2 linked regions of the Alligator mississippiensis genome follow. The protein of the gene in region 2 interacts with the protein of the main gene of each other region in a biochemical or structural test. Links are inferred from orthologs where the notes say so. Each region holds a gene or a part of one and is shown on either strand. Other genes may lie near its edges.

Region 1 (16,450 bases), on a different chromosome or scaffold from region 2:
CTGCAACAAGCTGCAGGAAATACGGAGCATTCCCAGAGAGAGTAAGTAAAGCTCCAGGAGTATAAGAAAGACTGTATTTAGGTTTCTGGCAGAAACAGGCTCTTGCATTGCTGGGTATCTAAGAGTCTCCTGACAACTTCAATACCACTGAGAAAAACAAGTCTCAGTATGATTGTACAAGTGTTGGAAAGCAGAATTGCAAAGAAATGCTCTTCAAAGCAAACTAAAAGGCTAACTGTGTCAAACAGTTTGCAGATCAACTACCAGGGGCCAGCACTGGGTCCAGGTTGCCCGAATTGAGAACACTTTTGGTACTAAGAACAGGTTTTTTTTGTCAAAGTCTTCCTGCTTCTTAGGGCTAAAAATAAGTGATATTCTTTTAACTATTTTTAAATTAAGAGTTTTTCTTATTTTTATAAACAGATCAGTCTAAAACAAAATCCAAATTTTGTGTAAAATATGCTCGGGGATAGACTTTTCATAATCTTAAAAAATATTTAAATAAAATAAAATATGCTAAATCCAGGAACTATCATCAAAGACCGTTACTAACTACATACTTTCCCAACATAAAGAATCAGGAAAAAAACAGTTACTTTTGAGGGCAAGGTCTATAAATATGGCCCAATCAGTCATGTACTACCATATTTGCTCAAATCCAAGATGAGGTTCCCCATCCCAAACAGCGTTGGAGGGGAAAGCCTCGTCTTAGATTCAAGTACCAGCCTGGAACAGGTAGCAGCTCAGCTCCAGGTGTGGTCCCAGGCTCAGAGCCAAAGCCAAGCCACCCCCTGCCCCTAGGCTGGAGTGGCTTGTGCAGCAGGAAAGGGGACACGTAGCCAGGGAAGACTGTGTGGTGAGGAGGGGGGCATCCCACTGTTGGACATGGGGGGGGGGGGAAGGGGGGAGAGCTGGCCACTTGCCTCCATCGTTTCTTTCTCCACCACAGCAGTAGGGGGACATATTTAGTATGACCTTCCACTAATAAGATTCTATATATGGAAAGTAAAACAAATTTATAATTTTTAATGTATAACATCTAACTATTGGGGGGGGGCAGTCATCTTAAGTTCAAAGTTGTCTTGGGTTTGGGGAAATATGGTATATTAAGAATGTATTCCTACGAGGACACAAGGACTCTACTACTAGATACAACAGAAGCACCATGGATGTTGGGACCCAGCCTGACTCCAGGCAACCCTATCATAGCACCTCATAAGGAACATCCACTGAGCTGCACATAGGTGGTTTCATACTCTCATTAATCAAATGCAAAGAGACTCCATTTTGTTGTCAAACTACATGTCCTAAAGCAGTGGGGGTCAATCTTTTTGGCAGTTACATCACAAGTTAGTACTGCACTCTAAGGGTGCACCAATAAAGATTTTTTTGGCCAATACCAATGACCAATTATTAACCTACCACATCAGCCGATACTGATCCAATAGCTGATATGCAGCCCAGCAGCTTTTAGAGCAGCCTCTGGCTGGTAAGTCTGTGGAGGTGGAAGGGAAAGGGGGCAGACTGAGGCCCCCCCATGGTGAGGGAGGGAGTGGAGCTAGGGCAGGTGCTGCCCCGTCAGGGCAGGGCCCAAGACAGAGCCACGGGCGGCTCGTCCAAAGGGCACAGGAGGTGGGGAGGGGTGCGGCTCCTAGATGCCGCACACACCCCTAGGGGAAGTACAAGGGGGCATGTGGGCCCCAGACTTGTGCATGGAGCAAGGGTGGGCTGCCCACTGCGGGCTTGGGGCCAGAGGCTGCACCAGCCTCTTTCCAGTGGGGGGGGAGGGGCGGGGGGCTGGACCGGGGGGGGGGCAGCAGCACTGAGAAGGAAGGCTATAGGGTGGGCTAGCACTTGGTCTTCTCCACCTGGCCCCTATGCTAGGAGGTAAGTGCAGACTCACCTCTGGGTAAAGGCCAGGCTTGTCACTGCTGGCCCCTACGTAAAGAACTAAGTGCTCACTCCTCCCTTCCCTGACTCCCATCCCTTTCCTTTGTGTATGAGAAGCTAAACAGGCTCATCTGTGCCCACCCAGCTCCAATGCAAGAAGGTTTAAGCTCATGATTGTCCCTGCCTTGCTGCTCTGTGAGGAGTTAAGTGCTCATCCCTTCTGCTCACACTCCCCGCCCCAACCTGGAATTAAGTACTGCAATAAATAAATTACTTATTGAAATGGGGTGCCTTATGGCTTGTCCATAATGCCAATTTGCCTGCTAAAGAAACAAGCACCACATATTCCGTGCTACTCCACAAATACCCAAGCCTGGCAAACAAACAAGGCAAAATGATTAAATGGGTTCTGACCGTGTGCATAATGTCATTCCTAGGCTTTGTGACTTGGGAGATCATGAGAATAATCCTGAGGCATAAGATGCAGGCTGCTGAAGTTGGTCTAAGCCAGCAGTGAGCAAGCTTTGGGAAACAGGCCAAAACAACCTGCCTCTGGTGTGATGCAGGCCAGGGGCTTCAGTGGCACTGTGGTGGTAGGTGAGTTTTTTTGCCTATACTGCTGCTGCAGTCAGAAGGGAGGGAGAAAAGAAGCAGTGGCAGGATGGGTCCAACTTCCATTACGTTCATTACATTGATGCAACTTTCCACCAACAAGTGCAATTTTGTTTTAACAGTGGTAGATTTTATACCACTAAGCAAAATAATAGTTAATAGGACTATTCATGCTTGCACCTGTCCAAGTATTATACTGCCTACAACAGTTTTATAGAGTTCAAATAATGCTCTAAGTATCAGTGGGATTTAAAAGAAAAAAAACCAGAACACAGTGCTTAATTCATTGCATATTTATAATAGCACAAATTCAGGTTAATTTCATAAAACAGAACCATATTTTAGTTAGTAATTTAAAACTACCCCCATGCGAATTAAGATTGGGGTAACTATTGGGAGGGTAGACAAGCAATGCCATATGAACAAGGATATAAATCAATATCCTGAATTGTAATAAGAGACATTTTAGTTTCTAGAGGCAGAGATTCCACAACTTCTCTAGGTAGCCTGTTCCAATGCTTGACCACCCCTACAGTCAGAACGTTCCTCCTTATCATTTACCTAAACTTCCTTTGTTGCAGCTTGAGGCTCTTAACCTAGTCCTGTCTCGCACAGCCACAGAGAAAAGCCTACATCTGTTCTCTCTACAAATTTCCCTTCGTGTATTTGAAGACTTAACCTGGAGGCAATACCTAATGCACAGCCCGTAGGATGGGATCAGGACTGTGGAACTGTGTCACTCAGCCACAGCACTCCTAGAGAAACTATGCCTACTATTGAAATCTGGGTTATGAGATCCCACTGGGGGTACATGCTGGCAGCAGGGGTTAAGCGATGGGTGGAGTCTATCCCTGTGGTGACCATTGCCAATTTAGATCCAGCTCAGGGAGCTGGGTGAATACAACACCCCTGTCTTACATAAATCCATTCATAGTGCATTTCATGCTCAGTCCCATGCTATGAGGCTTAAAAAAGGGCTTGTCCCACTGCAGCCCATCTGTTCTGCCCTCATGTTTTTGCAGTTTTGGTGACAATCATTTACATGGCAACAGGCTGATAGCCAACAGGTGTTAGACTTGACTACAATACAGTTACAGAAAAAGTTCACTATTTAGTTGGCCTAATAAAAGCTACATCTACCCAAAGAACCTTGCTTGTCTCATTCAAAGAAACAGTGTGACAGCAAAGATCAATAACAATTCCATATGAAATCCTGTCAAACTAGATTTGTGATTTTTTTTAAATCAAGTACAGGTGTGTACACTTCACTGTGCAAAAACAATGGACCTGTCAATTAAAATGTTTAAGGTAACCTCCTCACTGAAATGTTCGCTATGTACCAATCTGCATCAAAATTTGCTGCACTAACCCTATAGCCAGCAGTGTGCTCTGTGTGAAGCTGTACATAGATCTTTGATGCCAAGCAGCTAACAGTCTCAACAGACAACCTAAGAAACTAAGAGAAATGTCAACTTTTCTTAATGTTTTGAAAATGTACTTTAGTGTTTGAGAGTTTAGCTTAAACTAATTTGAAAAGAAAAAATGACCCCTGCGATACTGAAAGAGAATGTTTTAAGCATAGAAGCCATATAAAGAGTGGCGAAGCTGGCTTAAACCAGTACGGCAAAACGATGAGCAAAAGTAATAACAAATTGTAACAGAGAAATAGGTAAAGGAAGAGTGAAGTAAATCATGAAAAACCTTAAGCTTCAAAAATTATCTAATGCTTTTAACTACAGTTTTACTATCACTCCAATTATAAAATAGGTGATGAAGAACAGGAAGTAGTAACTTGTGAAAAAGAACTTCACTGCACTGATACGAATGGACCAACAAGAAGCAAAATGGAAATTAAGGATGTCAAAGTTAACGAAACCATAAGGTGGCAAATAAGGTGTGGTAGAATCTAGACCTTTATATAATGATGGTTCCCAACCTGCTTACATTTGCACCAAGTTACCAAGTCAAGATAAAGCCAACTACACTAGTGGTTCTCAACCTTGTTAAACTTGAGGCACCCCTCAAAATTCCACCCCTTAGGTTTTGTTCATTTATTGAGTGCACAAACATTATAGAGCAATTTTTGTTGTTGTAAATAACTCCAAAAGACTACAACAGGTCAGAATGTTTTTGACACTCTGGATTCCTATTTGAAATCTCTGGGTTTCTCTTAAGAACCCAAGTTTGCACACATAAAAGTGGTAACATCACATTTCACCCTGGTTGAAAATCAATGCACTGAACTGTTCACTCCAGCTTTTACTTCAAATTACATTCTTTCTCCACACAGCTGGCTGGAGAAAGGGTGTACTTTAAAATGAAAGCTGCAATAAATGGCTGGAGCACCTCAGGAGTCTCTCAGTGCTGTTTGCTGTGGCTAGTTCTCAAACCCTCATCTTTACAGGACAGTAAGGAACCTAAACTTGCAAAGATCCAGGTTGTACTTTATCTATCTTAATATACTAATATGGTGCTTCTCAACCTTCAGTCCACCAGCCAGACACAGAGCCAGATGCAAAGCCAGTGGGAACATCTGATTGTCAACCAACATGTCAGCATGGGTGAACACTCCTGCTACTAGTTCCTCCTTTCCCCTGCTACTAAATTCAGTGATGGGGAAAAAGGGCTATAAGCAGCAGCAGTGTTCATGCATGCTGACATACCAGGGAACTCTGAGCTTTCACGCAGCTCAGGAGCTGATCACGTCACAGTTACTGCTTGGACCCTCTTTTCCTTGCTCTAGCTACATCACCTCAAAGTAATGAAAACCCCATTGCTCTGGGGCACAGCATGGTCCCAACCTGCACTGCATTTCCAAAAGCACACAACCCTCCCTTTAGGAGGTGCTAGTAGGGCACTGGGAATCACAGACAACTGAAATAAGATACCATGTTGCCAGCTAGGCAATCTCCATCTGTCATTTGAGAGAAATTCTTTAATTATCTTGTACAAGATTATGGTTGGTCTTATTTTTGGTAATGATTTTTAAAAGTTTAATTACGTTTAGAATTTTTTAAATAATACAATAGTATACTGAACTTTTACTTTGTATAAATAAGCCTAAAATACTAGAATAAGTAATGTCGGAAAGGAAAACCATATAAAATACTTAATATTAGGATACTCCAAAGTATAGAATTATAATGTTTTTCTATACGGAGAAGCTCACGTCCTTGGTTAAAAAAAGGAAAAGAAAAAGAAAATGAAGCAAACCTTAAAATAGTTGAACAACACTGCTCTAATAGAAAATAAGAAAAGCAGGGGGAAATTGGCAGAAACTAGCAAGTAACAAGCTGACTCACCAAGTGTTATCAATTAACGTGGAACAAGATTTTTTATTGGGGGGGGGGTTTCATTTATTTTTTTAAATATAATTTATACCCTGTTTTACAAAATTATATGCCAAAAGTTAATTTAGGCAACTGGAAATTGGGTATCATCAAGACCCTCTAAAAAATAGTTAGACTTCTGATTTTATCCAACTTTGATCTCAAAAATAAATAAATTAATGGTTTCAAAATATCTGGCTTGATGACTCAAGAACAGATAAATATATCCAAAATAAAAGGTTTACAGCTGCAAGTTGTTTAGTTAAACTCAGAAATTACCCCTCAGATCATCCATATGTTTTTTTCCTTCAATATCAGGGGAAAATAGCATGAAGGGAATAAGAGATTACTAATACCAACATGAAGAAATTTTCATCTAACTTTATACGGTGAAAAATTCATGTTTCCATCAGACAAGTCAACAAAACATGCATCTTCCTATGTTTCTAGTTGCCTCATACAAAGGAAGGAAAAAGAAATAACTGAAGGAACACATAGAAATATAACCAATACACTTCTTACTCTATGCAACTATTTTTTTTTAATTGAACTAGATTCATAAGACTCTTAACAAGCCTTGTTAATAATAAAAATTATCTGTAACAATACATAAGATTACTAATGTATCTTAAAATAAATAACACTTCTAGGGACTAAGAATTACATTTTACACATTTTTGACTCATTAAGCCCACCCTCTGCATCACCTTCACATAAAACTAAACATCTCATCCAAGAGGAATCTCAGCAACTGTATTATCCCAAATCCCTCAAGGTATCTATGTTTGGTAAAAAAAGGCTCAGAGACAGTCTGAGCAGAAAATTTCATTGCCTGAAGCATTCTATTGGCTGTCAGACTAGTAGTCTTGCACTAAGATCACTTTAAGTAAATCAAAGCAGAGATTTATGAATCCAAACATATCATTCTTTAATGCTTCCTATGCTTTTTCTCAGAGAATGTCTGCATAGAAGAGGAGCAATTACAACACTAGCAGTACAAACAACTCAGAATTCTAAATAATTTTTAAAAGAGACTTTTTGATTTTATATTCATTTATTATTTCTCAATAGTCTCAATTTATATAAGAGACTACACCACTGATGCTCCACCAGGGTGCTGCAGCATCCTCCAGGGTACCATGCAACATTTGGGCTGTTTAGTATGCATGGTTCGCAAGACAAACCAAGAGATTTTCAATAGGAATCCAGTGTCAAAAACATTTGTTGTGGTCTTTTTAATTTTTTTTGGAACAGCATTGCTATATTATTTTTTCATAATCAAAAACTGAGGGAAGGCTAAGAGCTGGCACTTTCCAGGGGGGTGCTTTAAGACCAAAAAAGGCTGAGAGTCACTGTACTGGATATTAGAAGAACAGTCATGCAAAAACATCTTTGTACCCTTCACAAATTAATTTATGCCTTATTGTGACGTTTAATGCAAAACATATGATTAGCAAATGATATCAGCAGATCATTTTCTCAACTTCACCTAGAAAATATGGCCTGTTCTTTGACACTTGTGGTCAGAATGTTTACTGACTAAATACCAAAGTAATTTAACAGCCAGATATATTTTAAAAATCACTTTCCAAGCAGCATTTGAAAGAAGTTTGGAACAATCTTCAAACTAATGATTACACGGATTACAAAATGAGCACATTTTATTAAATAAGGCAATTTGATTTTATATGAAGGTCTAACAAATCACAACAAACAACCCAAAGGAAAAAAAATATTAGGAATCCCCTTAAAACAAATAAAATAATCTGCATTCTATCTAGCAAAAGCTAGCCTCAGTAGCAACTACTGTATTTACCTGAATCCAAGACAAAACTGAATTTAAAACAACTACCCAGTAATTAGATTCTATATATAAAAAAATCTATTAAAATGCTATACTTTTCCATGTAGTCAGCAGTCCCTCAATATCAGGGTGACAGTCTTCCATAAATAGGGAAGTCATTAATAAATCTGGAGATGAATGAGGAGACCAATGCAAGATCTGCATGTTGATTGCAGGCATGGTATACAGTTATAGAAGGAAGTGGATCCTGGTGATGCTGGGTCTCAGCTCTTTTCCTTTGTCCCTCTCACCTATTCACCTCCATAATGAGACAAATTTGATCAAAATGGTCAATGCCTTGTCATACTCAGCCAGGGATGATTCAGAGCTCAGGTCCCCCAAGTATTGATGTCAATATCACAGTTCTTCAGATTGGTCTTTAAGCTGTCCTTGAAGCTCTTCTTTTGCCTACCTCTAGAAATGTGATCACTGGCAAGTTGCGAGTACAGGACCTGTTTCAGGAGCCATTTGTCAGGCATCCTTATGACCTGTCCTGCCTAATGGAGCTGGTGCTATATATAAACATGGCTTCAACACTGGTGATCTTTGCTTGAGCCAGAACTCCAATATTCATTATTTTGTCCTTTCAATTGAGGTAGAGGATTTTCTGAAGACATCATTGGTGGTAACACTCCAAAGCTCTCTGGGGCTTCTGTTAAGCTGTCCGAGTTTTACACCCACACAGCAGGCTAGAGATAACAACAGCCTGACAGACAAGAATTTTGGTTTGGGTCCTGATGTCATGATCAGGGACACAATTTTGTAGATGTTCAAAAGGCAGCAATGGCAGATTTTTTCAGTGCTGAATCTAGAAATCATCATCATCCACGTTTCCATTTCTGGTAAGGGAAATACTCAAAATTCTCCAAGTATTACCCTCTAATTGTAATGTGTGGGGGAGGAGGGAGCAGCTGGCTGTTTTGGGGCAGGTTGAAAAAAGTATTTTGTTTTTTTGTGCAGTTGACAATAAGTCTAAGCATTTCACATGCTTCACAGAAGCAGTGAGTGACCTGGATCTCTTTGATCAAGTGGATACATATGACAACAGCATACTGAAGATCAGTAATGACAATGTTGGTTATCATGGATTTGGAACCTATCTGGTTGATGTTAAAGAGATTCCCCAGCCACACAGTACTGGATGCTGACTCCAGATGGAAGCCCAGCAGCAATGAGATATGAAATAGCTGCAATATAGATAGAAGAAAATGTTAGTGCAATCATGCATCCCTGCTTGACTCCAGGAGTTCTAACAGCAAAGGAATTAATTTCTGAGCCACAGCTTACACTTTCTCATCATGTCATCATCACAAAGAAATCTAATGATGGCAACAACTTCTGATGGGCATTCAAATCTCATCAGTATCTTCCAAAGGGCCTTTCTGTTGATTGAATCAAAGGCCTTAGGTCAACAAAGGCCATATAAAGATCTCAGTGTTGCTGCAGATAAAGCCATGTGTTGATTTTGCTATCTGGACCAAAATTGTTACTCAGATGCGAAATGTCCGCTTGGCATACACAAGTGTCTCGTGACCTTTTGTTTTACACTGACCAACAGACAACATGCAACAGTCATCAGTGCTTACGCCCTGGCTGCACATGATGAAACTAAGGAAGAATCCTATTCTAAACCCAGCCAAGTCTTGTCATCTGCCCCCAAAAAAGATAAGACCATTCTTGGGAATTTCAATGCTACACTGGGCAGAGAATCTGAACTATGGAAAGGAACACTTGGAAAGGAAGGGGTGGGAAAAGTCAATTCAAATGGAATTTTCCTTCTGAGCAAGTGTTTGGAATGTAGTCTTATCATTACAAACTCCCTATTCAGTTACAGAAGAAATGAAAGACATCATGGATGCACCCCCTACTCAAAACACTGCAGAGATATGCTTAAAAGGGGTAAGTGGTGCTTTCAGCAGTCCATCCAGTTGCTCACCTCCACAGAAAACTAGGGCAATCTTATTAACCAAGGATCAGGGCAGGTGTGCTGGCTCAAGTGCTTGGCCCAGCCCGGCATGGTTAATGAAGAAGACACCCTGACAATATGTTCCATCATGCCCATTCATCACCCCAAAATGGTGTAAGCAAAAGAAACAACCAAAGAAGAGGTTCAATATTATTAAGTGCTTGAAAGACCCTGATAAAAGCAATTATTTCCAGCAGTACTCTCCAACCTCACTGATGATATTGACACCACTGATCACTGGGAAAGCCTCAGGAAAGGCATGCTTGAGTCATGAGAAGAATCTCTAGGCTTCTCCACAAAGAAATATCAGGACTGGTTTGATGAGAATGATAAGAAAATTCAAGTTCTCATTGACAAAAAAAGGGGGGGGGGAGTGGGAAGGGTAGGCAGCAGGGGAAGTCAAGCAGCTTGCTCCCTGCTCCTTGCTCCACAACACCTTGCCCTTGCCACCTGTCTGTCCACACCACTTACCTCCCCCACTATCCTATGTTTGGGCTGGGGTTGGGGCTGGAGCAAACATGCGCTGTGGCCCAGGCTGTGGAGAGGCTAGAGCCTGCTGAAGCTGGAGCCAAGCTAAGCAATAGGGGGAGTTTTAGGGGGAAAAGAGGAGGGAAAAGCAGGGAAAGGGAAGAAACAGACAGGGGAGCAGAGACTGTGGGGTACAAGGAGACAGGGAAAGAGGTAGCAGGGGGATGGGGACAGGGACAAACAGCAGCCTTAGCTTGGGCTCCAACCCTAGGTTAGGGCCAGGGCTAGAGCTAAAGCAACAACAGCTAAACCTTGTAAACCAAATCCAAGACAAGGGGCTTTTTCTACCACCCCCATTAAATGGGGGGAACTTTGTCTTGAATTTGAGTAAATGCAGTAATGTCCCCCAAAGCCACCCTGCTTCAGTCCACCCACCTTGCTCCCACTCAGCAGCAGTGGTGTCTGCCAAGCCAATAGGCACACCAAACTGCTCCGCGTCCTTGGCAGGCTCCACTCCAGGACTTCCAACCAACCAGCTAGGACTGGAATAGGGAAGCCGGGAGTGTTCAGGTTTGCTTGGGATGGATGGTCATCCTATTCGTTAACAAAATTCCATTTAAGATTTGGATTTAAAACATTTACTTTTTCCATTTAATTAAAATGAAGTCAGACACTTCCTTCCTTTTTCATGTCCTTGTATGACAAGGCATTTTGCAGAACTTGTAGATTCGTTAGAATCTGACAGGGCTGCACCATGAGCACTTCTGCTATGGTCTTGACCTTGCAACCTCTGGGCTGTCAGCCATGCACCTCAGTGCCCATGCCACCCCAGTGCCAGTCAGATAAGGAAGAGCTGTACAGGCAACCCCCGCTTAATGCTGTTTCGCTTCGCACTATTTCACTATAACGCTCATTTTAAATTGATACCTGATTTCACTTAGTGTTCAGCGAGTTTCATGATAACGCTCACGGTTGCCATCTTGAGTCATTAAAAATAATTGTGGTCACCATCTTGGGTTGTCAAATACTTTCAGTTTCACTTAACGCTCGGTTTTTCAGGAACAAATTAAGAGTGCTAAGTGAGGGTTGCCTGTATACATTTTAGCAAGGGTAAAAGGGAAAAGGCTGCTCTTCAGAGCACTATCTGGGAATGAAATTATAAATCACGGCTATCAAATTCAAAGTAAGTGGCTGGATATTTGCTAAGCAGCTGCTTTATGGGTTTGAGGAGCCCGGTCAGAACCTAACTTCATAGCCACTGAGTATCTAAGGCAGCAGTTCCCAAATGCTGAGAGACTGCACACCACCAATTTAAAACCATACAACCTTAAGTACCACCAGCAAATTTTTGTCGTATAAAGTAATTATAATAAATCTGTTAATGCATACCAACAGGTTTTCTGTGTACCACTGGTGGTATGCATACCACAGATTGAGAACCACTGAGCTAAAGTGTGGGCGGGTTTCTCTTTCCTTTTGCTTTCTTAACATATTAATTTTGGAATAGGAGTGGCTCATGTATGTAAAATATAAAATCTTCCCTATATTGGTTTTGGGGGTTCTCTGACAGATTAGTACTAGTACACTGCTATGTTATGAGAATCTAGATGCCTAGGCAGTTTTGCAGCCACTGAGAAGTGTCAAATTAAGATTGCTCTGACTTGTACACCTACATTTCCAACTTAAAGGATGTAAATGCGTAAGTACCTACAAAGTCTATTAGGATCTCCTAAATAGGAACAGAGAACTTCTATGAAACCTATCACTACAACCCATTTATACAGTGTACTCAATTTAAGTGCCTAGCCTCTCGACTAAAGAAGACCTGTGGCACTTTCTCCAACTCAATCTAAACAATACTCATTAACTATAGGAACAACTTGGACAACACTTTCTGCATCTCATTAAGGCCCATTACATCATTTCTCAGAGTGCCTCATGCCTCTAATACAGTGGTTTTCAACCTTTCTTCATTTGTGGACCCCTAAAAATTTTTGAATGGAGGTGTGGACCCCTTTGAAAATTTTGAATGCAAGTGTGGAACCCTCTGAATTTTAAGTAAGGGTATTCACATAGTTTTGATTTATCATCGTCATCTTTTTCAGACCCCTTGGGCATAATCTGTGGACCCTCAGGGGTCCCTGGACCACAGATTGAAAACCACTGCTCTAATCAGCAGCCTTGAAATTAACAAAATCTAATCAGTTCAAAGCTGATTTAGAGTTCTTGAAATCAACAGCTCTAAGTCAGTATTGTCAATTATGCAATTAGTGGACTACAATTACTTACAAAATAGACAGTATGGCCAAAAATTCCTAGCGTTTAAATGATTTATACACTTAGTCAACATGCATATAACCAAAGTTTGTCACAATGCAGGTAGCTGGGACTAGACTTGTGTTACGCAATTAGGCAAACTTTGCACTTGTGGCAAACCCACAGTGTAAAGTGAAATGTAGCATACACTTCTATAGTGCAAATAGTCTACCAAAAAAAAAAATAAAAATCTAACATATGCACATAACTTGTTTGTTTCAGCAGAAGATGCTCTCCTAAACAGCTGCACCAAAATTTGAGAGTCAATACAGCTATGCATGCAGATTTTAAAAAGTTAGATAGACAACTTTATTGTTCCTTTCCTTGAAAGGAAGAGGAACAGTGGAAACAAAAGGAACTCAACAACAACCAACACACCACACAAATAAACTAGTAAATGTCTTAAAAGGCACTACAGAACAGGTGCTCAGATATAAATACATGTATTTCTTAACCGTGCAATCAGATAATTGCATTTACAATCCTAGTTAGGACTAAACCCAGATTCTCTGAACAGACTATCAAAATATTCTGTGAAATCATTATTAAAAAAAAAAATAAAAAAAAATCAAACTTTATAAAATATCAGTTCTTTAGTCCTGTAAGTGCTATTTCTTTAAACTACCATAAAACATGCTACTGTATCTACTTACATTGTTATAGGCAACTGAAAAGTCAAAGGAGTTTCCAGTGTTTTAATAAAAAATTGCTGCTCTATGTCAGACATTCTTAAAACCCTCATGGTAAATTAAATATCCAGCACTGCAATTCTTCTCACAAACGTCTAAGTGACCAAGACTATTAGAAACTTGTAAGCAATGCCTCAAATTTCTAATTAAGTTGGATAGTCCTCTTGAAAGAATGTCTGTCCCCTAAAATAAACATACTGCTGAAAGCTTATCTACATACTAAATTCTCTCTTCCCTGCCTCAATCCTCTTTAACAGCAATATTTTAATATTAGATGTAGTCGTATAATTGAACAGCTACTTCTACAGTCCAAAATTAAAATGTGACCATTGTATACATTTCTGTCTTCAGTCTGTTCCTTTCTGATTAAAACATCTATTCTCTAGAGCTACAAAACTATTAGCTTCCTACTCAGTGCTGTCATTCTCTCTCCTTATAAGAGTTAAGACTAGGAGTTTCCTAATTTGGAACGCCAGCGTGGCAACACAAAAATCTGCTACTAGACTCATGCTGGTTCTTTTTTTTAAATCTTAGGTCTTCAAAATATTTATGAATTAGGAAGTTATAAGATTAACTCTGAATGTTTTAGCTAAATGGCTGAACAGATTTTTAAAGAGGCATATTCATTTAAAAGCTAAAATTAACAGGTTGCAAGAATCTTCCAAATCTAAAAATAAAGGCAGAGTTAAGATGTTAGAGATACCTTACATCTTGTTTCAGCACTTATTTTCAGTCAGCTATAAGAAAGTGCCTTGAGTGACCAGTGACAGTTCAGAGAGTCAAAAAATGGCACATCTTCATATCCCCTAAAAGATTCTCCCTTATCCTATAAACCATCTGAGTAGATAAGCAAAAGGTTTCAGGAGTTCCTAGGAATGAACAAATTTGTACTCAAAAAAATTTCAAATACGACATAAATCAGCTGTCGCAATGTGGACAACCTTGTCATTATTTGTCATGCCTAAACCTTCATTTTGAGGAAGATAAAAGGAAAATACTTACTAGGAAGTTTTTGCAATAAACTGGATTGCTAAATATTTCCTGGACCTAGTCAGCAGTTTTTAGGCATACATAAGGTAGAGAACCAAAGCTGACTGGGAAAGTAAATTAACACTTTCTAAAAGAGAGAAATATCAAGCATACATGCTTATCCCTTGATACAGATGACCATAAGATAACAAGTACCATCAAGTGTACTCCAATAATACTACAATTTACTTTATGGTTAACTCTATCCCCCCTTTTTTTTTTAGGTTCTAGATCACTGGCCAGCAAACTAAGTGTGCCTGGGGGGGGCCATATGATCTGGTCCAGGAGGCTCACCAGATCCAGAAATCTGGCAGCAGTGGCAGCATTAAATCACCATAGCTTCCAGAACTAATTAACTAATTAGTGGCAATTAATGCTGTCACTATGGGGAGCCCTGCAGGTCAGACCCAGTACTTGGCACCAGACCAGCACATGGGTCACACCTCAGCTGGATCTGGTGTACCAGGTTGCACCCACAGACTAACCCCATGCTGGACCCAGCATGCAGACTGGCATCCATGCCATTTATCTGACCAGGAGAGCCAGAAGGCTGATCACCAGAGTTCTAAATGGCATCTACTCAATTGTCTCAAGGTCTTTAAAAGCTCCTTTAGCTGGCAAGTACATGAAAATGACTGTTATGTATCACTAGCATTCACAAACTGAAGATCGTGTTTTGTTACTACTGCTAAATTTCAAGCCAATAGCAACATGCACTTTGTCCTCCTTGGTAAAGCATATATTCCCATGTTTTCCTGTTACCTTAGGTTTGGACTACAGGCAGTCAGACTTATAATGTTTCAAGTTACAACATTTTGCACTTACAACGTTTATAAATTGACACCGTTTCAACTTTATGATGTCAGTTTCAACTTCACAACGCTTGATCCGATGCCACGCCACACCAGCAAACAAGTTCACTGTGTCACTCACCTCCCTGGAGACCATCTGTCCAAACGTCCTTGGACAATTTCTTTAAGAAAGCAGACAAGACTCCAGAAAAACCTACAGCCAAGACTCCCAAGAAGACTCCAGCCTTTCAAAAAGTCCAGCAAAGTCACCTCAAAGAAGTCTTTCCAAAACAATGTGATTGCTATTTACTATATAAATGCATTAAATGTAGTTATATTACTCATCTATAACTGACAGAGTACAAAATTCTGGAGTATTTTTTGTGAAAATTGTGTATAGGGCCTTGGTTCAGGAACCAATCCTCCATTTATAACAGTATTTCTTATGAGAAAATTGGTTCGGAGTTGCAACGTTTCGACTTAAAATGCGGTTTTCAGGTGCCAATTGTGTCGTAAGTCTGAGGACTGCCTGTATGCTACAACACTTTGCAAAGAACTGCATCTAAATGTTACTCTGAGAGGTACAATAAGCAGCTACTCAATTGTTAACATTGCAGCATATTTTAAAAATCATGTCATGCCACTGGTTGTATACAAAGTATGAGATACTGATCCTAACACAACTCTGTGAGTTATCTACCAAGAAATGAGTCCACCGATATATCAGTTGCCTACTGGAGCAGCGCCGGTAAGAGGGAAATTTACATTACTGGCTATCAGCTTGTTTGGCCATTATAGCCAATAATGTTCTCTGATAATTATGCCTTCTGGCGGGGACCCCTGGATGCCTGGGTTTCCTCGTGACCGCATGGCTGGGGCCCTGGACACCTGGTCCCCCCCCGAAAGTTGGGGTGACCCCCCCATCCCCTTACTGATAGGCCAGGCTGAGCTAACGTGGAGCAGCTGGCACAGTGTCCTCGGCATGGCACAAACTGCAGGCTGGGGCCAGGAAGGGGTGGGTAGAGCCAAGTTGCCCAGCCCAGCGTGACTCAACCCACAGTTAATAGACTGGTATTGGCTGATATGGCTGGTTATAATTGGCTATCAGTATCGGCCAAGAAAATCTTTATCAGTGCACCCCTACTTCCTTAAAATACTCCATACATCTCAGTCCCATGGGCCAGATAATATGGCTCTGCCAGGCAGATTTGATCTATAGGCCAGAGGTTGATCTCAGTCCCATAACAGAAACTGATCAGAAAAGGATGTTAAATATTCCTGATACTAGATGAAGCAGATTCTTGTTAAAGCATTCATCTTTAGAGAACTTTAATCTTCACTAAAGGGCAAGCCAAAACCTCGTGACTTTCCGAATAATTCATTACTTCCCAAGAAGGAGATGTTTTACTAACAGGTGATGGTCATGAGACTCATCTGAGCCAGGGTAATTAAACCCGAATTTAGAGGTTGCTGAAAACAGATGTTTCACCTATTTTGGGCTGCCAATAAACAACGTA
Region 2 (16,169 bases):
AATCAACCGCTAAGCGTCCGTGCCTAATTCTAGTCCGCCGGCCTGCATTCCCCAACCCGTGTGCCAGGGCTGCTGGCCACAGCCCACCGCACGCCCCTGAGAACCTCGGACCGCTCCCAGCCCGCACACCAGGGAGTGCTGCAGTGAAGCAAAGTTGCTTACTTTGTCCATGCTGCACTTCAAAATAGACCCAATGTAGCAACCCTAGAGTAGGGCTGGACATATGCTGAAAAACTGTTTTGAGCATGGTTATTGGTGTATACCCAGTGCTGCTCCAGGGTAGCTCAACTACAACAGTTTGTAGTGTAGCATGCATGGAGCAGGCATGCCATACTTCACTATGGTGCTCCCTAGCAGGGCTTCAGAAGAAGGTGGTGTAGAGCTGCTCATTAGACTTTTTCCATTGGTCACATCTGAACTGTTAACAGTATTGTGTTAACTTCAACAAGTGTGGCAGAAGAAATAACATTCATGATATCTTGGTTCAGAACTATGCATCTCTGCCTTGTGTGCTAGAGTATAAGTGTTGGATATGGCCCATGGGCCAAATCCAGCTGACAGAGCCCTATCCTTCAGCCTGCAACACTAGTCCTGCATTAGTGTGCCCCATCTGGGCCCCACATGCTGCATGCAACATGTACAAGCCTTAGCTCCATGCAGCATGTGGCAGGCAGAGGTGGTCTGGCATATGCTGCATATAGTACACAGGGCTGGAGTTGGCACATGCACTGCATTCTTCACACAAGAGTGAAGCACATGAGGCTGGAGCCAGCATGTGCGCTGCATTTAGTGCGTATGGCTGGTCCAGAGTGTGCTGAATGTGGCACAAACCAGGCCCTGCACACTAGATCTGGTGTATGGGGCCTGTCTGTGGGCCTACTCAGACCTGCAGACAGGCCCCAAGAGGCCTGATGAGTTTCCCCTGAGCTAGAGAAATATTTATCATAGAAAATTAGGGTTGGAAGGGACCTCAGGACATCATCTAATCCAACCCCCTGCTTAAAGCAGGACCATCCCAGCCAAGGCTTTATCTACTCAGGTCTTAAAACCAGGAATGGAAACTCCATAACCTCTCTGGGTAACCTGTTCCAATGTTCTACTATCCTCTTAGTGAGAGTTTTTCCAAGTATCTAACCTAAACTTCCCTTGCTCCAACTTGAGACCACTGCTCCTTGTTCTGTCATCTGCCACCACTGAGAACAGTCCAGCTCCATCCTCTTTGGAACCCCCCTTCAGGTACTTGAAGCTTGTGATTAAATCCCCTCTGTCTTCTCTACTCCAGACTAAATAAGACCAGTTCCCTTAGCCTCTCCTCAGAAGTCATGTGCCCCAGCTCCCTAACTATTTTCATTGCCCACTGCTAGACTCTCTCCAATTTGTCCACATCTTTTCTGTAATGGGGGGCCCAAAACTTGACACAGTACTCCACATGTGGCTTCACAGTGCTGAATAGAGAGGAATAATCACTTCCCTTGATCTGCTGGCAACACTCCTACCAATGCAGTCCAGCATGCCATTAGCCTTCTTTGCAACAAGGACACATTGTTGTCTCATATTCAACTTACTATCCACTGTAACCCCCAGGTCCTTTTTTGGCTGGGATGATCTAGTTGGGCATGGTCCTGCTTTGATCAGGGGTTAGACTAGATTTTGAGGTCCCTTCCAACCCTCACATACTATGAGGTCCCCAGCCTGTACCGGTGCATAGGATTGTTCCATCGTCAGTGCAGGACTCTGCAGTTCTCTTTATTGAGCCTGGATGCATGGCTGTATCCAGATGAGTGCAGCATTGTGGCATGTGGCACTGCAAGCCAGTCTGTGGTATATACACCATACATTCAAGCGTTTCCCATGCTGCCACCTTGCAGCACAGGGTTTGTTGGGTTTTTTTTGTAACACCTGGAGATTCAGGGGTAAAATAAACAACACTCCACACAGAAAAAAAGCAGATGGTGCACATGGGGACAGCACGCATTGCCCAAAACCAGAGCCATGCTCTGGCTGCTGCTCAGGCTTCAAGCTGCCAGAATGACACAGCTGCAGTTTCCCTGGCCCCCAGGTAAGGCTGCTGGGGACAACACAGTTGCTGGCCCCAGCCTCCCCTACCCTACATGGGGTAACCTGCCATGTGCCAGAGGGCATGTGGTGCAGATACTCCCTGGGGACAATCAGCAAAGGCACAAGGTGTCCCACTGCTAGTTGTCCCTGGGGAACCAAATGTCTGCACTCATCTGGATGCAGCCCATGAGATTTCTTTTGGTCCAGTCCTCCAATTTGTCAAGGTCTCTCTGAATCCTAACCCTACCCTCCAGCATATCTACTCCTCCTCCCTGCCCCAGGTTGGTGTCATCTGAAAATTTGCTGAGGGTGCAGTCGATCCCATTCTCCATTTTATGCAATGCCTAGCAATTTTAAGGGGCTGACTCAGTTTAAAAAAAAAAGTGAGCTAGAGAGTGGCCCATGTAATACCTCCCCTAAGGCTGCAAGGCAGGCTCAGTTAAACACAAAAAAATCCAAGTGAACACACCCTTAACCTGGCCCCAGCAACACAAGTTTCAAGGACCTTGGTTAATCTGCACCACAAAACTACCCAAAATAAACACTCCCAGCATAGGTTAGGTCTCACCTTGTAATTTTCCTTCAAGGAGTCTTCCCTCTCTATGGAAGCCTCTGCCTCTGCCTGTCCTTTCATATCTGGTCATTCGGTCAACTTCCCTCTGTATTGACAATTGCTTGCCAGTTGAGGCCCCTTACATGGCTTGTTGCTGGCTAATTGACTCAGGCTGCCTGTTACAGGTAGTTTGAATAGGGATGATCCTGTCTTGAGTAGGGAGTTGGGTAGGTAACTTCTTAAGGTCCTTTTCAGCCCTACTTTTTCTATGATTCTATGAAGTATGTCTGATAAACTTTAAGTCCTTGTCCTATAAATTGGAGTGATATTATTAACACTCCAAATATTATTAACACTGCAGAATAGTTTTGGAATATAATAATATAATTTAATTATTATTTGTGTTTTACTTTATGATGGAAATATATTTCAGTGCAAAAGAGACATCTTGGTTAATCAGTACAAAATGATATGTTCTTTAAATCTGTGTTTAGAAAATTACGCTGTAGAAAAGTTTTTTTTTCCCCTGTAGGAACCAGGTAGAAGTGAACTTCTATGCAAGTTTACATTTTCTCAAATACAATTAAAAAGACAAAAGTGGAAGCATAATATTATATATATATAATAATATATATATTATATAAAAATAATATTTCTTGGCACAATCCTATTTGCAAACAGAAAAGCAAACATATTAGCCACAGAAAATACTGCTTGTTATGACTAATCCAAAACTTAATGGCTAAAGGCTAGAGTCAGCTTCTACTGAATCTAACACAAGGCTGCTGTCTTTACTTTACACACAGTTCTTCCTATCACAGGAATACTCTCAATCTGCTTTAGCTGACTTTGCAAACAAGCCAGTGGTGTCAGGGCGGATAACTTCCATTCTGGTTAACTAGAAGGTAGTCCTTGTTGTTTTATTATAGAAAGCAATGAATGATTGCTGAGATTGATCATGTCTCCCCTTTTGTTTAGATATTACTTAGTCTCAAATTAAAAGAGACATTATTCCTATTACACAACAACATGTAACATGAAATTAAAAAAAACCCTATACCTTCTGCATAACTAGAATTGTGCCAAATTGCTTCAAATGGCCTGAATGCTTTTTTTTTTTTTAAGTAAGTTCCCAGTTGAGAATATTTCTAGTGTATGACCAAGAGGTTTGTATCCCCATCTTCTTCAGATTTTTCAGGTTGGGCGCTTTTGATAAAGATATCAGTGACATCTTTTCTTCCTTTCTTTTGTTTTTTCTTAAGTTGACATTATTTTCTGATAATGCTAATGTGTACCCACAAATGGGAGAACACTGTGCATATTCCACGTTCTATTCCTGTTGGCTTCTGCTGGAATCCAGGACACTTCTGCCCAGAAAATTGTAAACTTACACCTGCTTCCATTGCAGTAAATGGCAGCTTTACCATTATATTAGCTGCAGGAACAGTCCCAATATCCTTACCATGTCTTTGGCTAATAAAACAATAGTACAGCATGAAATACTACATTGTGACTTTTTTACCATCCCAATATTGTGACAAGAAATATTATTAACACTGCAGAATAGTTTTGGAATATAAACTTCTGCTGGAAAGATACCACACTCCTTTCAGAGTAGCATGATGCTATCATTTAATTATTATTTGTGTTCTACTTTATGATGGAAATATATTTCAGTGCAAAAGAAGCATCTTGGTTAATCAGTACAAAATTATATGTTCTTTAAATCTGTGTTTAGAAAATTATGCTGTAGAAAAGATTTTTTTTCCTGTAGGAACCAGGTAGAAGTGAACTTCTATGCAAGTTTACATTTTCTCAAACACAATTAAAAAGACAAAATTGGAAGTATAATATCTCCCCATTACCTTTATAAAATTTGCATTTCTTTGCAGATTCCTTGATTTATTTTTGTTTAATACAGAAATAAAACCCATTTCTTGTTTAAAGAATCCACATTGATTACATTTTTTAGCTTTTGAAGGACTGATAATTGAAACAATTTTCCTTTCTTCTCCACACAGTTGATATATATTGCTAGGATGAAGATAGGGACTGGATTAGATTTAAGTTATCAATATTCTATGATAAGTTTCCAAATCAATTTTGAAGTGCATATAAGAGCTAGGTTGTAATAGTCTTTTAATTTGCATATTCATGTATCAAACATTCTCGTTCTGTATTGATGCAAAAACAAGACCTTTACAAGTTTTTCATATGAGACCTTACCACCCAGAAAAGTCAGATTACTCAAGTGGGATTGTGGGAGACACAATTTAAAGTCCCTGTTCAGTCCCATTCAGACTCAAATACAAGTATTTATTTATAAAGGTGGAACAGCTGTAAAATTAGATTGACAACATAGCCTAGTCATGTGGGTATTCAGTTGGAATATACTGGTTCAAAACATTGGGTTTGGTTTGGTTTCTGACACCCTACCTGAGGTATTCTAACTACTGAGATATTTGTTCTGAGGTAGGGCTCTTTGTTGTTGGTTTTGACCAGAATTTTAATTTGGGAGCTGTTTTTTTTTTCTAATGAACAAATTGCAGCATTCTTGTTAAAAACTACTGTTTTGGTGAACTGGCATTTTTGAATGAGAAACTATTTTTAAGAACTCCTAACCAACTCTGTAACTAATGGACTCATCAAGTCACTAAAATGTAGCTGGCCAGAAAACCATGACTAAAATATATTAGAAGAGAGCTATCCTCCCATGTTTCAACCCACAGGTTAAGAATTTTTAAAGCTGGCTCCCTGAGCATCCAAGAGACAGAGGTATGCGGGGCCAAAGGACAAGGCTAAGCTGAAGGGTGTGTGGTTCAGCGGGGTGGCTGCCCAACTGACTGAGTGGCAACCATAGATCCTTGTTCCCAGTGGGGCAGAAACTTCCCCATTCTCCATTTTATCCATTGCCTAGTGATTTGAAGGGTCTGTGACTCAGTTTTAAAAAATTGTGCTAGAGAGTAGCCTATGTAATGCCTTCCCTAAGGCTGCAAGGCAGGGCTTGCTTCTTGCAATTAGATGTATTCTTTTCACATTAAAGCTACCCACTCCAAAAAGGCATTAAAAGCCATTAGATAAGAGAGGAACTAATGGTGAGGCCTGGCCAGAATACATTAACATAATAAGGATCCCTGCCAGAAAATAATCTTTATGCTTTATTGTATCCCAAAGTTTTCATTACAGTATTGTTCAACCTCAGCTCTGTCAACGTATCATGTGGGTATGAGACTGACCAACTTGCCATTTAATTATACAAACACTCTTTATGCCTCCTGCCTTAGACCTGAGCAGGAAGGTCATGAGGCTGCTTCTGTCCATATTTGGGTGACTCAGCAGAATACTGACCCTTTTTTTCCCCTCACAACAAACCACCTGTCCCCTTTCTCAAGCACTATCTTCATCTTGTGATTTCGTCCTTCCTTGCAACTGGCATTTTGAAGGGCATTTTGGCAGTGAGTGCAAAACAGAAACCAAGAGGAGTGACCATGAGCTGGGAGAGGAAGGGATTTAAGAGCATCTATGATGTAAGAAAAATTATGGAGCTATTAGAGAAGAGGGGACCTCAGACTCAGCCAGGAAAGATGAAAGGTTGAGGGGAGGGAGGAACAAAGTGGCAAACAAGAGGCAGGGAGTCCCGCAGAACAAAGAAGAGGAGAGAACTGAAATTGAAAGGACAGAACAGGAGGGAGAGAAAGGAGAAGCTTGGTGGTTAGAGCATTTATAGGGAGGAAATGGGATAAAAGAAGATTGGAGCGTAGAGGGAGGGAGAGGGGAGAGAAATGGTGAAGTGGGGCGGAGAAAAGGATTGAGAGTGAAGGCATAAGCCATAGATGAAAATGCATTACGGGAGAAAGATCAAGTCAAAGTACCATAGAACTATTTATTTTTGTGCCTCTTCTATCTTTGTACATTCTCAAGATAGCAATGTTTTGTTTGATTATTTTGTGCTCTCCAATGGCTAATGCTGCCTAGCAGTGACTGGCTTGAGTGTGCTTCCTCTGCCATCACAAAACACTCCTGCTGCCTAGCAACAAACAGTTTGTGTGGAAGCCTTGTCCAGTATACAAGGCACCGGTTTTTAAGTCAGGCAGATCCCAGGAACAGCGGGTTCACAGGAGCATGGTGTGTGAGGGCACCTCTTGGAAAAAGATACTCGTATTCTCAAATCTTGGCACTCACGAAAAAACCCTCCAGCTCTTATAGTTGTGAAGAAAACCTCAAATATATATGTCTTGTAGGGCTCTCTGCATGAGCTGAGAGACGTGGGAATTGCCCCATTCAGTTCAGTGAGGTGTTAACTCAGGGATGATAAAAATAAGCATGATATCAACAAAATATTAATTACATTGGTAATTTCATTCCTTGTACAAGGCTATATTTACACGAGATAAACTGTACCCAACAAACCTAAGACAGAGGTAGGCAACCCCTGGCATGGGTGCAAGAGCTTGGCATGTGAAAGCATTTTACTTGGCACACAAAGTTTGGGGCAGGCAGTGGGGAAAGGGCTGGGGCTCCACTGTCACAACAATTGGGCCCCTTGTGGCTCCCCTACCATCTGCCCTAGCATGTGAACATTTTACAAGTTGAGGTTGTGGGTGCTTTTGGCACTCTGCCCAAAAAACATTGCTGATCCCTGGTTTAAAATGCAAGTATAAATGAAAATAATTCTACTGATATAATTTTCTGGTCAATCTTATTCAGGTATGAAAGTGCCTGAAGTGCCCTTTTTTGGTTGTACTAGTCTCCCCTGAGAAAGGGATAAATAATAATAATAATAAGCCACTCTTGTACCAGCATAAGAGTGTTCACTTTGGATACTGGGATAGAGGTTATATGTGTAATCGGTATGGTTGATAAAACTTTCCAGTACAGGATGATCCTAAGAAAGAAGACCAAGGGTTGTGGATCTACCCAAATTACTGAGTAAATGTTCACTTTGTTGCCATTTGTGAGGCTTCTTCTTAACCCAGGAGGAACCAAGCCCCAAAACAGGGGTGGCCAAACTGCAGCACACATGCCGCAAGTGGCACTGGCAGCCTTTTTGTGGCACATGGCAGACTGAGGAGGGGGTAGGCAGCAGCATGGGAGCAGATCAGTCAAGAAGCAGGAAGGAGAGTAGCAGATGGGACTGGGCAGGGGATTAGAGTAGTACTTAGGGAGGCTGCAAGGCTTAACTTGTGGTAGGTCTGTTAAAAAGGTTGGCCCCACTGCCTCAAAATGTGGCTGTGTTTATGGATGCCTTTAAATCCCAGCCAAAGGGAGCCCATGCATAAGAAGCCAAGTTAGAGTGATGCAGCAGCATATTTAAGCATCTACAAAATCTGCTGTGTGCAGGATGTCATCTCAACTTCTCCCTGGAATAGAACTTATTTTTGTAGGTAGATCTTGAATAGGACCACAGCTATTCTTCTCCTGCAGTCAAGAGAGGTGTGCTGTTTTCAAATCATCTGTTGCCTTGCTGTGCTTGACCAATGCTTGAACAATCATTTAACCTTTGCATGGATAGGGAAAACAAAAGTAAGCCGCTATTAACAGCAAGTATCAGCTAGGTGGCGCTGCTACATATGACCTTTCAAGTTCTGTTTCTTGTTCCAGTAAAGTTTTGATTCTTGTGCAGACACCAGGAGGAGGTTGCCTGTTTGGATTATACAAAGTATTTGGTGTAGAGGCAGTTTGTAGAGAAAGGGAACCATGAAAGCAGCAGGAGAATTTGCTGCCTACTACAGCTCTGATTAGTGTAAGATCCTGAGGCAGAGTTGTCCCCTTAAGAACTTTATCATTTTCAAAACAAGCACCATTCATAATACAGCAATTAATACAAAAACATAAAATGTGATAATTAAATCCTTGTGCTAGTGCATGTACACAAGAAGACATGTTCAGCAAGTTTAATTAATGCTTTAAAATGTGTTTCTTACATCAACCAAAGCTGGAGAACGCCATGTCTGCTCATCACATGTCCCTTAGTTGCATTATTCTGTAGAGGCTTCCTCTCTGGCTCTTGAGTATGCTCATCCAAGTCCACAGGTGTGACATTTCCAATGATAATTGCAAAGAAAAGAAAATCAGTTTCTGGACCTTCCTAGATCACTTGTTATGAACTTTCTGTGTTGGCTGACTCAGACCTTATAGCACCCCCTTTCTGGTGATGAACACAAAGTCAGGTAAGATGCAAATAAGACAGATGCCTATATGCCTGTTTGAGTTGAGCAGCAATCTGTGGATGTGTCCAGATTAGTGCGGCTGTGCGGAATGTGGCACCACAGACCCATCTGCAGTGCCACATGCTGCACATGCAGACGTTCTCCATGTTGCAATCTTGCAGTGCTACAGGGTTTTTTGACCCCAGGAAATCCTGGAGGTCAAAAACCCCTGTGCCGAAGAGAAGTGGGGTAGTGCATGTGGTGGCAGTGCACACCACCCAAAACCAGAGCCTGGCACAGGCCTGGGGCAAGTAGCAGTGGCACAAGGTGGCTGTTTCTTGTCCCCGGGGAACCAAACGTCTGTCCTCTTCTGGACGCAGCCCCTTATTCTAGTTTTGCCACTGCAGCTCCTGGCTGAGATGTGCACACAATTATAAGAAAGCCTGATGTCAGGGGCAATGCGTAGGGGGTGCATATGCACCCCCTGAGTGCTGGTGCACCCTGTCAGGCTGCGCTCCCTGTTTAGCCGACAGGCAGGGGGGCAGGCAGTCAGTGGGATTGGCTGCTGGGGGACTCCCTTCCCCTCCCAGTCACTGACTCAAGAGGCACCAGTCACCCGTGCCTGATGCTATCACACAACTCAGTAAAAGTGGCCTGAACCCATACTCTGCCCCAGAAAAGATACTGAAGAAGTGTCTCTCTTCAGCCTCCTCCTCTTCTGGTGGCCCGAGTGCTCTGGTTCATTCCCACAAGGACCACAGCCCCCACCAGGTTTTCCTCCTGGGTTTCTCACAGCACTTTGAATGGGGGAGCAGTGCTTGCTGGAAGAACCAAAGAGGATGGGATAAGAAAGACAAGGTTCTTTGAGTAGATGCAATATCTTTTATTAGACCAACTGAGTAGTTGGAAAAAAGTTCTTGCCAAGCTTTTGGGTGTTGTCACCCTTTGACTGAGCCCGAAAGCTTGCCAAGAACTTTTTTCCAACTACTCAGTTGGTCAAATAAAAGAGATCACATCTACCCAAATAACCTTGCTTACCTGTGTCCTTAGACCAACATGGCTACAACCAAAAACCCAGCAACAGGGATGAGAAAGAAGCATCCCGAAAACTGCTTGGGCTCGGGCAGCGCTCGCTGGGGAGCCGCCACCCAGGCACTCAGCGCGGTAGCAGCCGAGACGCGGCGCGGGCAGGGGAGTCTCCCATGCAGACCCGGTGGTAAAGACAAACGCAGGAGGCGGCGGAGGCAATCCTCCTCCTACGCATGCGCACAGAGGCGAGCGCCGAGGCCTACATTTCCCAGGCTGCCACACAGCGGGTGGGTGGGGCAGTCTCCCACAATGCCCTCTGGGCGGGTGGCCGAGGCGGCGGCGTTGCCGCTGCTGTCTCTTTAAGGCGGGGGAAGCGATGCGGAGCGGTGGAAAATGGCAGAGCTGCAGATGCTGTTAGAGGAGGAGATCCCGGTGGGCAAGCGCGCGCTGCTCGAGAGCTACCAGAACCTCACGCGCGTTGCCGACTACTGCGAGAACAACTACATCCAGGTGCGGCCGCCGGCGGGGCCGGGCCGGGCCGGGCCGGGGCGGGTGGCAGCCCGAGCCCAAGCCGCGCCGGGCAGGGCAGGAAGTGGGCGCCGCGGCGGCAGGAGCAGGGAGCGGTGCAGCCGGGCAGGGCCCCCGCCGCAGCCCGGGGCTTTTCTCCCCTGAGGTTTTCTGCTGAACTTCATCCCAGTCTCCCGGGCGGAGGGTGGGGGCGGGCGGGCCGCGGCGCCCGGAGGGTGTGTCCGCTTCCCCCGGGCTTGTTTGTTGTGAGTCACGTCGCGCCTCCCGCCCTGGGGCCTGCCTGCGTGTGCGTGTGTGTGTCGGGCGGCACATGCAGCTCAGGAAGGGAAGGGCGCGCCCAGCTGCCAGGCTCTGCTCTCCGCGGGACCCACACCCACACCCCGTCAGTCAGTCAGGCGCACACTGCCCCTGCTCCGCTGCCCCCCCACGCACACCCTGTCACAGTCGCACCCCACCTGCCCACTGTGAGGGACTTCCGCGAGGCAGGAGTGCCCGAGCCCCCCACACCTTGGCAGTGTGTGTGGAGGTGTGTAAGCATGTGCGCTCACAGACATGCTTTGGGGACCGCTGGGGCTGAAAGGACATGCTCGTCCCAGGTGTGCGTGCAGGGGCGTTGTGTGGCAGGGTGGGAGGCAGTGCTTGCTGCTGCTGTGGCGCCCCATCCGGAGGGCAATGGATGCTTGGGCCTGTCACTTCTGTGAGGTGCGGCCTGTTGTTCCCACTGCAGGGTGCTTGGGCCTCAGACTGCTCTGGTGTCCCCTGTTGCTGGGACAGCCCCAGGTTCCACAGCCTGCTACCGGTGGCTTCCTAGTGACCCAGTTCCCTGCGCCTCTGTCTGAGGCTCCTCTGTGGGTGCTGCTTTAAGGACACTTTAATTTAAACTGTTTGCAAAGCTTTCATTTGATCTCTTTGCTTCCGAATCCAGTCTTCCATCCACTGTGCCTCTTGTACATTCCCCAAAGAACTCAGCTGTTCTCCTCCTCCTCCCTCCCTCCCCCCCCCGGGAAAAATGATATAGAGAAAAGGAAGCTGAACTATATGCCATGAGTTGTCTTTCAGATAAGCCTTTCAAATGTAACGTGTCCCCAGTTGGGTGTGCTGTACCAAAGCTCAATACAGTTTTTAATACTTCCAAGTTATTTGGTATCCATCTGCAGCTAGCTGGTTATCCTTCTTTTCATGGAGCACCACACTTGAAAAGGAACCACAATGTTTCTTTAAGGAAATTGCTTCTGAAAATACAAAGTAATCATTTTGACACTTTAGATTGAAACTGCACTAGGAAATCAGAATTTGCATAGGGAAAGGTTGACATCTGTCTGAGTGGGTGGCAACACAGTTTAAACTTTTTGTTTTGTTCTTGGGAGTTACTTGCTCCACCCGAAAAAATCTGCTGATGCAAATGCTTTTAAAAGGTGAGGTTGCATTTGGTTTTACTCATGGGAAATATGACAAACACATGAACATAGTAATTGCAGCTCATGTTTTGACCTGTCTGACTCTTCTTTCTATTTGAGAAAAGTTGCAAAGAATCTGTTTGGCACTGTGTTCATTTAAAATGATCAGAATCATAAACCTTACTAATGTTTTTAAAAGAAATGAATCCCATTAGTCATTTGAAAGTCACATAACCAGCAACCACTTGAGAATCAAAACCTGCTGTGTACTTGACAGCCTGTCTGCAAGTGGCTGTATTTTCCTTTTTTGGAAAGAATCTGACATGCTAAAATGCAGAGTCAGGACTTACGCAGTAGTCTCATGGGGTTTATATCTAGTTTGCATTGTGTGTAGGTTTAATCAAATTTAGAAAAAGTGTATTGATGATGAGAGAGATATTATTTTTGGTAAGGTAAGGCTTGAATAAAGCCATCTGTTCTACTGTTACAGAGGATTGACTGTAGTAGTGGCAGTGTCCTAGATGGCACTGCCACAGGATTAGAGGATACAAGGCCAGTGTAGGGTGATGAGAATGAGTAGGTGGGATCAAAACGTGGTGTTTATACTGAGTATCTTTGATCGGACAAGTCAGTCAGTATTTTTAACATCTAGGTTGGCTATGGCACCCCATTTGTCTTTATCGTGGGAAGAGGCAGTCAAAGCAGAACAAGGCAAGAGAAGCTATAGACGAAGTACAGCATTAAATGTAGGATGTCATCATCTGGGTCCCTACTTAAGTGACTCAAACCAGGCTCTGTGAGGTCTCTGACAGAAATGTGACTACTGGTGCATACGCTCTGTCTTTCAGATCTAAACAGCAATATGCTGTTCTCATTGCAGGTGTTACTCTGTTGCCACCACCTGTGCTTTGTGAAGTTGAAACTAAATGGATTTTGTTTGACATTTTTGATCAAACCACACAAATGTTTGTTGTAAACACATCTGGTTACTGTTTTTTTGTATTTGGTATCTAGCTGTCTTTACCTGGGCAAGACTTAGTTTTATTAAAGATAAGACTTAAAAGCAATAATCTTAAAAGATTGATTTCCCTCCCCTGAGAGAACTTTAGAAGTATCTGTATTCAAAATATATGAAATATATATATATGAATATATATCAGTCTGAAAAGATGAAACTTAAATCATCTTTCTTGTCCTTTCTTTTCTTTGTTCCTACTCTGCCCCCAGCAACTGACTGATCTCTGGATGCCAGTGTTCAAAGGAACTGGGAAGCAGTTTACGGTTACCATGTACTGTGCAACAAACAATACCAAATCAGAATTCCAGGTAGTAGGGTATCTTGTCTGCCAAGCCATTCATGTTCTGAAAGTCTGTCTAATAAAAGGAAAAAGAAAGAAGATGCTAAATGGAGCCAATGAGATTAGAGGGAAGGCTGAGAGTACTGAAAGAAAATTTAAAGTGGTGACTGTTGAGGGAGAGAAGAAAAGGAAATGGAATGTAGAAGTAATAAATAACAAGAGGAAGTTGGCTCAAATGTTGGGGATTTTTTTTCGCATTTTTTTTTCTTTTAAGATTTGACTAATGGGAAACAGTTTTAAAATAACTAAATTACTGGATTTAATTTGTAATCAGATTTTCAGTCTGTCTGAAACTTCTGGCTATGGTTATAAGTTCTAGTGATGATTTTTTTTTTTTTTTGAAAGCAGCTAGAAATAAGGCATCTGATATTTTTGAACAGCCAAGTACCTTTCCTTCAGCACTTCTACAGGCCAGATTTTGAGTCCTCAGCTAGCAATCTGTTTTCATCTCCTTGTAAAAGGAGTTGTATTAATATGTAGGCAACTATGTAGAGGGTGAGTGGGACAAAACATAGTTTTTTCCTTAGTTAATTAAATTAGATCTGAGATTTATAAATGCTAATTAAATGGGCATTTATAAAGTACCATTGTATTTCTCAGGCTAATCTTAGTGCTAGGTGACAACCTAGAAAGCTGGACACTTACTTATGACTAAATGTGTCTTTAAAATGGCATGTTGGGAGGTAGGGTAACCCACCTGCGGTGGGCACTATAGTAGGTGCCATGCAAATATAAGCCATGGTTTCTGTGTATGAACCTTTCCCTCAATCCTTCTTGGCTCCTGGTAAAGTCTGTTGTTGCCCTTGTCGGGATGAAAGAAAACTGGGAGTCATTGCATAAAACTGGCAAGGTTGGTGATGAATTCCCCAGTGTGTTAAATTGCAATATGGGGATTGCGAAGGTGATGAACTTCCTTTGTCATTTCTCTCTTTGTGCTCCCAACATACAGAATCAAAGAATTTGCAGCTCAAGCTGCTGCTTTTAACCTCATCAGCTGACAAATATTAACTTACATGGATTTTTTTAAGAGTTTAGTTTTTAGGATAGACAGTTAATTCTTTTACAGAAGCGAGCATACCTGCAATAACTTGTTTAGTGCGTTTGACAGTGAAGACTATAAGTAACGTAGGAAAATGATGCCTTCAGAGTTATTATGCAAACTCTTTCCTTTGAGTTACTACTGTTGATTGTGAAGATTACAGAGGAAAGCTCATTTCTCTGTCAAAGTGTATAAAATAGTGCTTGTTAACCTCTGTCAATTAAAGTCAAGGGCTGCTTACAGAGGTGGAAAAAAAACAAAATGGTACTTTTACTTTAAGTTTGGTACACCCCTGTGCCAAGCGCAGTGCATGCACAAAAGAGGCATCGCATTAGTTGGACCTGGCTTGCCCAATATCTGTATAGATCAGGGTCTTTAGTGGGGCCTTTTTGGCACTTATAGCTGGTTGAATCGGCTTTTAGATAAAAGCACCAAGAAGCCCCACTGAAGCATCTGATCTACTTGGATGCTGTGGAGCCAGGTCAAACTAACGTGTTGCTTCTTCCGGTGAAGCTGTTGTTTGTTTGGATTTTTGTTCATTTGTTTGTTGTTTCTCCCCCCCCCCCCCCCCCCCCCCCCCCAACTGTCAGTGCCCAAGATGATGCCCTGTGTTTTTGTATCTGCTTAAAGCATCATTTTCTAGTCTTGTTTACTTCAATTTGTTTAACAACTAAATCACACATGACTTTAAATGTTGCATTCAGGTCCTGTAAACTAATAGTTTGGAATACTGTGCGACTCCCATAAATGATGGTCCTGAGATTTTAGTGAATGGATTCTGCAGCTTTTGAAGGTAAATTGCATAAATCATGAACAGGACATTTTGAGGAAGTAAGTGCTGAATTGCTTAATGTTGTTTCCTGCTGTAACTTCTAGCTGTTATGTGGAAACTGTATTTCATATGTAGCTGAATGTGTAGTTTTTCTGAAAGAAAGGCAGAAGCAAGGGTCTTTTAGCTTGACCTTTGGAATTTTACCCTAGTGAAGGGAATTGGAGGCTTCCTTCCTGTTTCGGGGGGGGGGGGGGGGGGGAGGAGGAATATACAGATTGCATGAGGGGGGGAAAAAGACTTTTTAAGCCAGAGTCTGGACTTTTGATAGGATGTGTTTATTAATTGGAGAGGCTTGTTCCATTTTTATCTCGGCGTTGTACAATTGAAAACAAATTACCACGGATGAATTCACTTTTAAATTGACACGTGCATCATAATAATATGTATTTGAGCCTTTTTAGTGTTTTTTTTCCTTTTTAGTTGGCAACTGATTTGGCACCAGATGCCTTTTGCCAGGAAGAATGGTAAAATGTGTCTCAGCTGCTTTCAGTACAGTGGCATTCACTTGAGCTGTTTGTTGGATTCAGGAAATAACCTTCTTAAACAGTCACTTATACTAGATTTTATGTGCTGTGCAAACTTAATTACTTTTGTTGTGTATAATTAATTATTTATATTTAGGCTTCCAAAATGGTTACAGTATTGACTTAAAGTTGGGGAACAGAATAGAAAAATTGTCTGCCCACAGTTTTCTTTTGTAAGTGGACACTGCAAGAACTGCCTTCTAAACGCATTTGATTTTAAAATATGAATGTTTTTGCCTAACAGACTTGATGATTGGTAGTCAGTGAGAGCTGTCAGTTTTGGAAAAACGGCTTATTTTTGTACATAGGTCTAAAATGGGTATCAGCTCCAAGGTCCTAGTTTGTTTGATTATTTTGCATGTACAGGAGGAACCAGTCTTCTAAATAAGGAAAACGCAAAGTGATCATACTCTTATATGCCGAAGGGCTGGTTTTCACAAATTGGAAATATTTATGCGCAAACCTTCTAAAATTATTTGAGGGAGATGGCAAAATTTCCATTACTCTTGCTCCTATTTCCCATTACTACTTCAGTAGAGGATTATGTTTGTATTGCTCTGATGTTACTAGGCAAGGCAGAGTGAATGGGACTAAGCTGTGCTGCAGAGGATGCCCTGGGGAAGAGATGGAACAGACATAGAGAAGAGGTGATATGGAATTATGGGGCCTGATAGTGGCTTTATGGCAGAGAATCAGAGATTT

The links.
Region 1: the proteins of ABI1 (region 2) and ENAH form a complex in vitro, tested with the Homo sapiens proteins (2 studies listed by BioGRID). The link is inferred for Alligator mississippiensis from reciprocal best matches to the Homo sapiens genes ABI1 and ENAH.

What each region holds. Positions count from the first base shown.
Region 1 is NC_081824.1:180,326,221-180,342,670, reverse strand, and holds the start of ENAH (protein enabled homolog), read right to left. Parts: upstream 7,754-16,450; 5' UTR 7,739-7,753; coding exon 7,731-7,738; intron 1-7,730. UniProt on the Homo sapiens protein: Ena/VASP proteins are actin-associated proteins involved in a range of processes dependent on cytoskeleton remodeling and cell polarity such as axon guidance and lamellipodial and filopodial dynamics in migrating cells.
Region 2 is NC_081828.1:189,406,960-189,423,128, reverse strand, and holds the start of ABI1 (abl interactor 1), read left to right. Parts: upstream 1-10,097; 5' UTR 10,098-10,182; coding exon 10,183-10,299; intron 10,300-12,941; exon of another isoform or gene 12,942-13,040; intron 13,041-14,815; exon of another isoform or gene 14,816-14,904; intron 14,905-16,169. UniProt on the Homo sapiens protein: May act in negative regulation of cell growth and transformation by interacting with nonreceptor tyrosine kinases ABL1 and/or ABL2. May play a role in regulation of EGF-induced Erk pathway activation. Involved in cytoskeletal reorganization and EGFR signaling.